Arabidopsis thaliana: one gene and its partners. The protein of the gene in region 1 purifies or fractionates together with the protein of each later gene. This does not show direct contact. Each region holds a gene or a part of one and is shown in the gene's direction. Other genes may lie near its edges.

Region 1 (4,059 bases):
GGTTCGTGAACTTTTGTATTTCCCAAAGCCAATTTTGTGGAAATGAGAGAGATCGATCGATGCTTAAAGCTCTGCTTCAACTAATAATGTCAATTTCTTTCTCTTTTTTTCAGAGACCTTCCTTCTTCTCCAGCGGCTACGGATTCTTCAGAACCTTCTTCCTATGCGTTAGTGAATTTTATTGTATTCTTTAGAACCAATCTTTTAGAATTGATCTTTGCTTTTCTGGTTATGTTTTGATTGATTTGTTATCTCATTTTCAGTGAACAGCTTGAAAGGCTCATGATGATAGATTCAGAAGAAGACCGGGGTCCCTCTGGGTTTGTGACCTTCTCGATTCTTTAACCACCAATCTTTGTTTTCTCTGGTCTATCTATGTTTTGATATTACTCTTTTTTTGTTGGTTTTGTTTCAGGTTTACGACTGATGAATTGATCTTTCAGGCTTTAGAAACAGTCTACGAGAATCATAATGGTCTTGATGTCGATGCGATTTTCACTTTTATCAAGGTTAGGAGGATCTCTCTGTCTCTATAAGTATCTGTGTTTCATGGTCATATCTCATGAGTAGTGTATATTGGTTCTGAAATGTGAGTCAATAGCGGGATTACACAATGGAACATTAGGATCTGAAAATTTGACTTCATGTTCCATCCCCTAAAAGTCTTCCTTTTAAAGTCTTGGTTTTGTTGATTCCTCCGTTGTTCTTGATCAACTAACCATCATGTTCTTGTGGTTAATATAAATTGCAGGAAAGGAACGAGTTACAGGAAGATTTTAGGGAGCGGTTGGAAAACCAGCTGAGATATCTAGTTTCTGAAGGCCAAGTATACAAGGTAACTAGTTTTTCAGAGTTGCCTCACACTAATGTTAAGATTCAGTAGTTTTGTTTGATCAGTTCAGAAAAACGGAAAAAAAAACTTGTAAATGCAGGTAGGAAACCTCTACAAGATCCCCCGTGGTGTATTTGATACTCCAGTTGTGTCAGTAGGAGATTCAAATCAAAGAGAAACCATGGATCCAGAAGATTCCACGGGCACAAAGGCACAAGACACACCAAGTACTTGTGCTTCTTTCGCACCACCAACAACAGAAGTAGATCCTCGGATAATCGCATTAGCAAAAGAAGTCGCAGAGGCAGAACACTTGGAGTTGGAAGCAAAAGAGGCATACGAACTTGCAGATAAACACGCCCAGTTGCTAAAATTAGAAAGCAACATAACCTTGCAGTTAGCCGTAGAAATCCTTAATCGATGTAAGTAATGTCCACCTCTTAACCTTTTATCATCATCATCATCACTGACTTTTTCATTTGATTTGGTCCTTGCAGGTGCTAACGGTGAAAAGATTTTCCTGCTGTAAAAGCTTTGACCTTCTGGTCCGGTTCAAGGTGGATATATTCGATCACCGGTTTCTTTTTAGTGTTTTTGGTTTTGAGTAAAAAAAAGAGTGTAGATATGAAATGTGATTTCATTTGACTAACTAGTCATAGTTTGTTACTTTGTGGTTAAATGATTTTGGTTGTGAAGGCAACAGACTATTCTGTTAGTTTTTGTTAATACAAGTTTTTACAGATAATGCCAATCTTAAGAATTGAATAGGTTTTTCTAATACATAACATAAGAAAGAAAAAAAGAAAGTGTGTCATGGTGTCTTTAGCAAGTATTTTTAACGGTCGAGATTAATTTCAAATACTGATCAAGAAAGAAAAAAATTAGTTATGAGAATTACAATTTTATAATGGGCCTCATTGTAAGCCCATTATAAGCTTACATAGGACTTTTATGAGTTTTTGTTCTCAGTCTGTCCCTTTAATTGTTTTTTGGCTCTTCTATCGCCCATCGCTTGGGAGATTAAAGTCTGAACTTTTTGATCTCAAGCTTCTCCATCTCTCCCTCAACTCAAGCTCCTGGTTCGGAACTATTTACTTTCCTATGCGATTGGTTGTTTATAAGTTGATTTCAGAGTTCGGATTCTTGTACTCATTAGATGTCCATATAGGTCTTGTTTACTGGTTTAATTGGGGTTTTATCAAGGAAATAAAGAGTGTTTAGGGTTTGAATTTCCGTGTTTGCAGATGGCGAGCAATATCATCTTGTTCGAGGATATCTTCGTGGTCGATCAGTTAGACCCTGATGGCAAAAAGTTCGATAAAGGTATACACTTTATTAGCCTCACTCACGATTTCTAGTACTTCTCATGGCTTACATCGACGTTTGTTCATAGCTGTTTAGTTCATGTATGTATTGTGAATGAGTTCTTCCGTTTATCCTTTTTTGGTCTGAGTGTGTGGGTTTTGTGGAAAAATTTAACTTTTTAAGTTTTTAGTCTCCCCCAAGTTTTGTTCTGTCTTCAGATTGAGTGGCTTTCTCTTAAACCTACAATGATTTTTGTTGTGTTTGTGGTTACAGTTACTCGCGTTCAAGCTACGAGCCACAACTTGGAAATGTTTATGCATTTAGATGTTAATACAGAGGTTTATCCATTGGCTGTTGGTGATAAGTTCACACTTGCGTTGGCTCCTACGCTGAATCTCGATGGAACCCCTGATACCGGTTATTTTACTCCGGTAATAAACTCTACTGCTTTTTATTTAGTTGTTTTGTTTTGAGTATATACACAGTCTCTTGTTTGCTTGGCCAAATTTCCATGAATGGTAACTTTGAACCCGTATCTGGATTTTGTTAGGATATAACTGTTAATGCTGCTAAATGGTTGATATTATAACTCTGTTGGCTGATTCGAGAAGCCTGTCTATCTAGGAATAAGAGGAGACATGGAATTTTAACAAGCTTTAGTTCTTGAATCTTCAAGATCTAAATTTGAAAACCAAGAATGTGTATGCATATCTAAACATTAATCTTATCTAGTTTTCATCTCGATACATTACAGGGAGCAAAGAAAACACTTGCCGATAAGTATGAATACATAATGCACGGGAAGCTTTACAAGATCTCTGAGCGTGACGGCAAAACTCCAAAAGCGTAAGAATCCCATATAACCCCCCCATATCAAAATAATTCAATCCAATTCAACTCACATATCAAACCATCATGTTTTATTTTATTTTCTTTAAATTATGTGTTTCCAGAGAGCTATATGTTTCGTTTGGCGGCCTCCTGATGTTGCTTAAGGGAGATCCAGCTCACATTTCTCACTTCGAACTCGACCAGAGGCTCTTCCTACTCATGAGGAAGCTGTGAGGTGCCATTTTTTCGGATAAAAACTGAATTAATAGAGAGCTTGATCTAATGTTTAACTTTTACTACTTCAACTCTTGCAATTTTCATGAAGCAACTCTTGTGCAAAAGCAAGTTTTTCCGTTCCGTTTTAAATCCCATTCCACAAATTGACTGCTCCGGTCCGGTGAAATGTACTATTTGTAGCTCTAAGCTATTGATGAAGATAAGCAATTGAGACCAAGAACATAACAAAAAACACAGACAAAGACACAGTTTTTTTTTTGGTCAAGGACACAGTTTTGTTTCTTCTCTAACCAATTTTCACTACACTCTTATCTTCTAACAACAATATGAAGCAATAAAGCTCGAAAAATAGATTCTGAGCCAAAAATAGAGTGTTTTCTCTAATCCATGCTTGTGTTTTCTCTAGTCCATGTTTGTGTTCTTGCTTCTTTGAGACTGGGAGAATATATCTTGGACGGTCGAGATTAGTCTTAAAAATTCTGAACAGATCAAGATTTAATTTTAAATCTGTATAGTGGGCCATGTTTAGGCCCAATAAAAGCTTTTGATGAGGCCTTCTAAATGGTATATATTTCGACTTGAAGAGAAAGAAAAAACAACTAGAAAATCGGAAGAATAAATGGACGGTGGAAGAAGGAAGCCCTTCTCGCCGGACTAGCCAAGCACGGTTCCGGAAAATGGACAAGTATTTTAGACGATCCAGAGTTCGCGGCTCAACTTCTAGATCGCACAAACATTAACCTCAAGGTAATCGAAAATTCCCAAAATCCCATTCGTCTTCCATGGAAATCGATTTTTGAGATTTATTATGTGGAATTAGGTCGAAATTTGGGTATTAATGTTGTATTGTTTAT
Region 2 (3,687 bases), on another chromosome or scaffold:
AAAATGTGATGCAACTTTCTTGACAATAAAAACAAGATTGCCTTAAACTTTAGAAAAACAAAGAACAGAGTTGTGTTCCCTCCATGAGCTTTTTGGTCTGTAATAATTGCCTTTAAACTGGATTACACGGGAGGCTTGCCAGCACTTAGAAGCTGTCCAACCATTCCATTTACCTGAAAACAAATTTAATGAAAAAGAACATAAGCATTGAATTTGAATAATAGTAGTCAACTATGAGAAGATTTGAAGTATCAAATTGTTAATTGTTGAAGTATCAGAGAGCCTTACCTGCCAGTACTTGGAAACACAACGGTCGATGCAACTATTCTCACCCATGTTTAGCTCAGCTTCCTTGTACCTGAGAATTAGGCAAAGAATCTCAAAACAGGTGCAACTTACTCATCTCTCAGCTAAGAAAAGTTTCAACAATTGCAGACAAGTTCCACGACGTAATTATAGAACATCAAAAGGAGAAATAGTTTACCTTTTATCCACACATTTATTAAAGCATGTTTGAGCAAGCCTGCAATACAAGAACAAGGCCTGTCAGCATAGTCTCTAACCCGAGGAATCACAATAGACCACAAAGTATATTAGAAGGAAAAGAAACACATATAAAGATGTGACTTTCTTCATAATCTCTAACCAGAGGAATCACAAATGGCCCGGGGAAATGAATATTAACAGAACACCACCTAAGTCATATGTTATCAAAGTTTAAACTCTACATAACAGCTGAATACATATGCACAGAACTCGAGAATTCCTCATAGAAAGATTTTAGATTTCCTCCTCAAGATAAACAATTCAGGCAGCCTAAGGATTTTCGACATATCAGCAGTCTCAAACTTATACTCCTCTAGCTTATATATATCACTATTTGAAAATAAGTGAAGCCCTAAACAATGTGATCAAAACAAAATTAAACCAGATAAGCAATCACAAGTGAAAATCGAATTTCATAACGAAAGATAAACCAAATGGGTGTTTGATTCAGTACTTGTTAAAGAGTTCCACGCGATACTCCATCTCCGTTTGTGCCATACTAAACGCCTGATTCAAATCCAAGACACCAAAAAAAAAAAGCAAAATGAGAAACTTGACAACACCAATCCAAATCTAATAAATGGCTTAAAGATCTGAATCACGATACAATTTAAACCCTAAGCATTGCAAAAACATTGAAACCTATATGTCATCACAGAGACAGCTAGAAAAACTTAAGCTTCCATTGTCTAATTAGATCAAAGATCGGAGCTTTACGATGTATTAACAATAAAGGACGAGCAAATAAACCGAACCTGTTCCTTAGTAACGCCGACGGGAATAGGAGAAGCCATTTTTTTAGCAGTACCTGAATACAAAATTAATGATTCGTAAAAATCGAAACTTTATAATTCATACTTGAATTTGAAGATCATAAATCCTTACTTTCTCAAATGGGATTTCGTGAAGAGAGGTAAAGAACACAACAAAGGCTTCTCTTTTGCTACACAGCCGAATTAGGGTTTAAGAGACATTACACGCCACGTCATCAAACGAAAGGGTATAGATGTAATTACGCTAAAGTATCTGAGCTTCTCCACGACTAAAAGTCGCCGACTAATCAAGCTTTTAGGGTTTTAGCAAATTTCTATTGGAGGTATCTTCTTTCTTACTCTCTCAACTTTTTTTGCTGAAATTTTCTTCAATTTCGAGTTTTTCTTTGTGGGTTTGTTTAGCTATTCAAAGCTTTCAATTGAAGTCGTTCTCTTTCTGTGTTTTCTAGTTGGTGGTGGATTTTTGATTTTGAGTTAAGGAATTGAGTAGCAAGAAGGTGAGATATGGAGCACGGTTCGTTCACGAATGTTAGTCATGCTTCGTTTACTTTATCGGAAGAAGATCACACACTTGCTAATGCTGTTAGATTCGTCTTAAACCAAGAGTAAGTATCTTCTTCTTTCAATCCTTTTGAATCTGTTATGTATATATATAGAAGAAGCTATACACTTTCACAGAGAAAGGCTTTAGCTTTATAATCTCATACTTAGTTCGTGACACTCTCAAATTCTGATTATTGAGTTCATAGTTTCCCTCATTAGGAATGAATCTCTTACCTGTCTTTACCTTTGTTTTTGGTTAGAATTATTGTGAAGATAATCAAATTTTGTTTGAATAATCAGTGTGCACATTGTATGTTTGTGCCATTATAAGGTGATTGTGAAGGTTGAGTTCGATTCAGATTCATGTTCTGTGGTTAGAGACTAGAAAAGATAGTCTAGAATTAGCTCTTAGATAGAGACAGCAGTGACGAGGCATTATTGTTCCGATATCTTTCGTTGGATGAGTTTGGTCCATTAAGTTCGCCATTATATTGTGATTGTGAAACTTGAGAGTTCGATTAAATGTTGGTTTACATTCATGTTATGTTGTTAGAGATTCTCATTGTATTCAATGAATGTCACATTATCTTATCTTTGAGGTTGATGGAGTTGATATGCTGGTGTGTAGACAATGATGATTATGTCAATAACCAGTACTGTTTTCAATTCTGCAGTCCCAGAGTAACCGTGGCTGCATACACCATCCCACATCCTTCCCTTGAACAGGTCAATATCCGGGTCCAGACAACAGGTACTGTTTTTCAAAAACTCTGTTCATCAGAGTTAAGCTATGTTCTTTTTGGATAACTCTTATCCGAGTTCTTTGTCTGTGTGTCTAACAACATAAAACGTGTTGGCTCTGTGGCTTTTAGGTGATCCAGCAAGAGAGGTTTTTAAAGATGCATGTCAAGAGCTCATGCAAATGAACAGACATGTGAGAAGCGTTTTTGATAAGGCTGTTGCTGAGTATAAGGATGAACAAAAGCGTAAGGAGGAGGCTGAAGAAGAAGAGCTTAAGAGGCAGAGGGATCTATTTGGGTCCATGGACATTGAAAACAACTGATAACCATTGTATTCTCCTATGGAGTTTATACTATTTTTATCTTAAATCCAGATTCGTCCTTCAAATTGACTCGTCAAATTCATAATCCACACCAAAATTTAACCAAGAAGATTCTTATATTGCTTATAACCATTGTCACTACTACTCTGCTTCTTATATTTGAAAGATGGTGAAGTCTTCACCGAATTCACATAGTCAAAATTAACAAAAGGTTATATAATGAAACAAAGAAAAAAAATACTATGGATGGATTTTGATTTAGCAAAATAGATTGTTTGAATATTGATTGATAAATCCTCTTAGCCTACGCAGAGTATCATAACTACTAATAACGCAAGCGATAGTTACAGAAACTATAAGAACTTAATAGAAGAGAGTTTTAAAAGTAAACAGCAACTGGAAGTTGAGGTGTTCTTATCATCTGTTTCTTCAATAAGTTTCTTCTTGCTCGTACTCAGCTTCTTCCTCTTCATATTCTCCTTCTTCATCAGCCGTTGCATCTTGATACTGCTGATACTCAGAGACAAGATCGTTCATGTTGCTTTCAGCTTCAGTGAACTCCATCTCATCCATACCTTCACCTGTGTACCAATGCAAGAAAGCCTTTCTCCTGAACATAGCAGTGAATTGCTCACTGACACGCCTGAACATCTCTTGGATCGAAGTTGAGTTACCAATGAACGTTGAAGCCATCTTCAGACCAGTAGGGGGAATGTCACAGACGGTTGATTTGACGTTGTTAGGGATCCATTCCACAAAGTA
Region 3 (3,603 bases), 2.5 Mb from region 1:
CGTTTCAGCGTAAGGGCTTTTCTCTTAAGGGCAATTACCTGACTCTTGTCAATACCCCCAGTCTTCTGAGGATTAGCACTTCGCGGAATTTCACGGAGAAGAGACGAAAATTCGCCCTCCAAACTTATAGTTGCTGGTTTCTTATCTTCATCGTCAGACCACCCAAGCTCCCTCAGGTCAGCTGCCAAATCATCATTTCCTTTACCCCCTTGACGTAGAGGCTTTTGTGATTTGCTAGATTCTTTGGTAGCAGCCTTGTTCTGCGTCTCAGCAACATTTCGCATAGACAGTTCCCTTTTCCGGTTCCTTCTTAAAGATATCTCTAATGCGTCGGCCTCTCTCTCAAGTTCCCTCCCTCTCTTAAATGCTTTTAGAGCTTCATCAGATTTCCCTTCTCCTTTAAGAATTCTGTACTTATTCTTCGCTTCTACTGCTTGTTTACGCAATTCTTCAGGACTAGCATCCAACTCCATACCTTTATTACTACTGCTACTTGCCATTTCTTTAGAAGCATTCCTGTCTGTGCTAGACACAGATTCAGATGAAGAAGATACATCAACATCAGAGCCTAGAATCTCACTGAGAACATCATCCTCATTCTTTACAGTCCTTTTCGAGCTACCTCCTGAACAAATTCACAATCTCTTTACATCAAAAACTAGCAGATAACACAAAAGTGTCATAAATAAGATCACTATAGGTACATAAATACCTTTAGCAGCTCTATTTTTGTAACCATGACGCAACTCAAACCGTGCAGCTTCTTCAATTTTCTTACATGGTTCACATATACGCACAGGTGAGTCACCTTGTCCACGTAGTGACAACCTTTGCTGAGTGCAGGTTCCACAGAACAATCCCCCACATCTCCGGCAATGATGCTGCTCGCTCAAAAAAACAAAGCCAACAGAAACTAAGAAAAATTAAGCAAATTCAAAGGTTTTTGGGAGACATAGAAGAATCCAGCAAGTCACAAGTCTAGTAATACACAAACCACAAAACATCCAGATTCACCAAATTTACTCAAAAATATGGAATCTATCAAATAGGCACATCACCAGAAACCGATCATTCAGTGAAGTTTTCCGATAAACAGATTCTGAATTAGATCTCGAAGAAGAATCGACTAAGACGAAACTAAATTTCGATCGAAGAAACTAAGAATCTAAAGATCGCGATAGCAATAAGCAAGTACCAATTGATAGAGAGAGTAAGGAAATTAAGAGAGAGGAAGACCTTGCGATTGATGAAAGTGAATTGAGAAGAACATCCTTGACAATGAGAAGCATCAACGACCCAACTATTTCCTCTTAGAGATGGCTTCGGCGGTAATCCGATCTTCTCCAACATTTTCCCGTCTGATTCTTCTTCTCCTCCGCCGCGAAACGAACTTGGTTTTGATTTTGATCTTACCGGAAATGTAAAAGATCGAGCAGATGAAGAAGAAGAAGAAGAAGAATACTTTTCCTCCTCTATTGTCAGATATAAAATAAATAATTTTAACTAATACGGTATCGTTTTAGCTAAAACACATAATAGGACTCAATATATAAAGCAATAATAATTAGACATGAAACTAATTTTTGCTTTGAGACGAGAACGAAGTTAGAAAGAGACAAGCCCTAAAGATCGCTTTGAGACGATAAACTCTTAAAGTTTCGATTCGTTCACGATGATCGTCCCTGTTCGTTGTTTTACTTGTGGAAAGGTTTGTTTTTTCTTCTCTCTTTTTGTACGATTTCGATTTGTTATATATATATGTGTGTGACAAATCTCTAGGGTTTGTAGTATTGAGATTTATGAAGCTTTTGTTTATGATTTTTTGTAGGTGATTGGGAACAAATGGGACACATACCTTGAACTTCTCCAGGCTGATTACGCTGAAGGGTAAGCGATATATAGTTTATGATTAGAAAAAGAATCATAATTTGTGAGAAATTTTTTTGGTGAACATGAGAGTGATTGAATCTTGGAATTTTGAACGTTTTCTGACATTTTCTTAGTTGAAATGAGAGTCATGTAAAAGATGAAACAATAGTGGAACATGACAATAGAATGATTTGATGGTTTTGTGTAGTCAAAGAGATTGCATGATCTTGTCTTGTATGATCATCTTGAAAGTTTATACATGTTTTAGCCTTGTTACTAAAAGCATGAAGTTAGATCATTGGGATTTTTCGATTTTCTTGTTTTAATCGCTAGTGTAATCTTTAGCCCGTTTGGTTCTAGGTGTTAAGCTACATGATTTGGAATTGCGCAATTTCGTTTTTGTTTTAGTTGCAATTTGATCATCTTGAAGTTCATAGATGTTATCTTAAGTGTTAGTAAAGAGCATGATGGTAGGTGATCACTGATATATTCCATTCTCTTGTTTCTATCTAATCTTTTAGCTACTTTGGTTTTAGGCATTATGCTAAAATTGCATTTTGTTGAACTGAAAATCTGAATTTTGGTTTTGGAATACGCAGGGATGCTCTTGACGCGCTTGGATTAGTCCGTTACTGCTGCAGGCGTATGCTTATGACTCATGTCGATCTAATCGAAAAGCTTCTAAACTACAACAGTAATATCTCCATACCCGGTTCTTTTGCCTTGTGTTGCCTCTGCTCTATTCTTTTTGTTAACTTGCTTATTCGAATACTTCTCTTTTGCAGCTATGGAGAAATCCGACCCCAATTAAAAAAAGATGCTATAATGAATAACAAATCATCAAGAGCTGAAGTGAAGGAGTGATGCATCTCATCCATGTGGGCGTCTTAATAAAACCACAATGTTTCAGAAATTTTGGTTTAATTTATAACTAGGAATGTTGATATTTCAATGTTTTCTGATGTTCTTGTTCGGTTTTAGAAATCTAGACAATTTTTCGAGCCAAAAATAAAGCTCAAGCCTGTAGAGTCATCATCTATTGATTTGTTTTTGGTAATCTAATCCTGATAAATAGTAAAGATCACACATTTGATAAGGTTCAAATCTACAATCTAGATCACGAGTAGGAAGCAGCTCTTTTTGTACGATATCAAATTGGTAATGAGAACAGAGCACATAAAAACAATTTGAATGGAGCTCCCATTTTATAACCGGAGAATATCAAAGTTTTTTAGTTACAAGTGGTTGTATTAATTCAAGGAAACCATTTAACAAAAGAAATATAAATATTTATATTAAATATACACTATAATTAGTTGAATATATATTTATTTTGGATCAAATGTTTATTAAGATATATTTTTATTATAAAAATTTATTCTGAAATATGTTTATTGAACAATATACTGAACTTAACAAACCAAGGAGACTTTTTTTATTTTATTTTTTTTCAAACACAAACCAAGGAGACAAATATGAAGAAAACAAATTACATTTGAATAGAGAGGTAGAGCTATATAACTCACTGAATGCTTGGAAATATTGTCTATTAGTCTATTACAGATTAAGATTTTCTAAAAGAATTTGAGCCCGCTGAACCCAGAATTTGAGAGTTTGGCTTAGACTCAAATTCGAGTTTTTACCTAGTACGCATTCAATATGGAAAATGGTGCAGCACTCAACGCACCAATAGAACACTTTTGTGTTTGTGTCTCTTAAATTACGTTCACATAC

Evidence for each region.
Region 2: the proteins of NRPB8A (region 1) and RPC14 fractionate together in Arabidopsis thaliana (co-fractionation; one large-scale study listed by BioGRID). This does not show direct contact.
Region 3: the proteins of NRPB8A (region 1) and AT1G61700 fractionate together in Arabidopsis thaliana (co-fractionation; one large-scale study listed by BioGRID). This does not show direct contact.

What each region holds. Positions count from the first base shown.
Region 1 is NC_003070.9:20,253,134-20,257,192, forward strand, and holds NRPB8A (RNA polymerase Rpb8), read left to right. Parts: upstream 1-1,804; 5' UTR 1,805-1,911; intron 1,912-2,076; coding exon 2,077-2,155; intron 2,156-2,410; coding exon 2,411-2,568; intron 2,569-2,891; coding exon 2,892-2,983; intron 2,984-3,090; coding exon 3,091-3,202; 3' UTR 3,203-3,555; downstream 3,556-4,059. Other genes in the region: AT1G54240 (winged-helix DNA-binding transcription factor family protein), read left to right, coding at 1-1, 114-167, 264-320, 416-509, 752-835, 933-1,254, 1,330-1,361.
Region 2 is NC_003071.7:12,640,904-12,644,590, forward strand, and holds RPC14 (RNApolymerase 14 kDa subunit), read left to right. Parts: upstream 1-1,924; 5' UTR 1,925-2,384; coding exon 2,385-2,613; intron 2,614-2,734; coding exon 2,735-2,925; 3' UTR 2,926-3,041; downstream 3,042-3,687. Other genes in the region: TIM10 (Tim10/DDP family zinc finger protein), read right to left, coding at 123-173, 289-358, 485-523, 805-876, 1,001-1,053, 1,302-1,340; TUB7 (tubulin beta-7 chain), read right to left, coding at 3,355-3,687.
Region 3 is NC_003070.9:22,785,433-22,789,035, forward strand, and holds AT1G61700 (RNA polymerases N / 8 kDa subunit), read left to right. Parts: upstream 1-1,579; 5' UTR 1,580-1,672; coding exon 1,673-1,708; intron 1,709-1,828; coding exon 1,829-1,887; intron 1,888-2,468; coding exon 2,469-2,563; intron 2,564-2,654; coding exon 2,655-2,680; 3' UTR 2,681-2,948; downstream 2,949-3,603. Other genes in the region: AT1G61690 (phosphoinositide binding protein), read right to left, coding at 1-625, 713-881, 1,237-1,350; AT1G61710 (Cysteine/Histidine-rich C1 domain family protein), read right to left, coding at 3,427-3,603.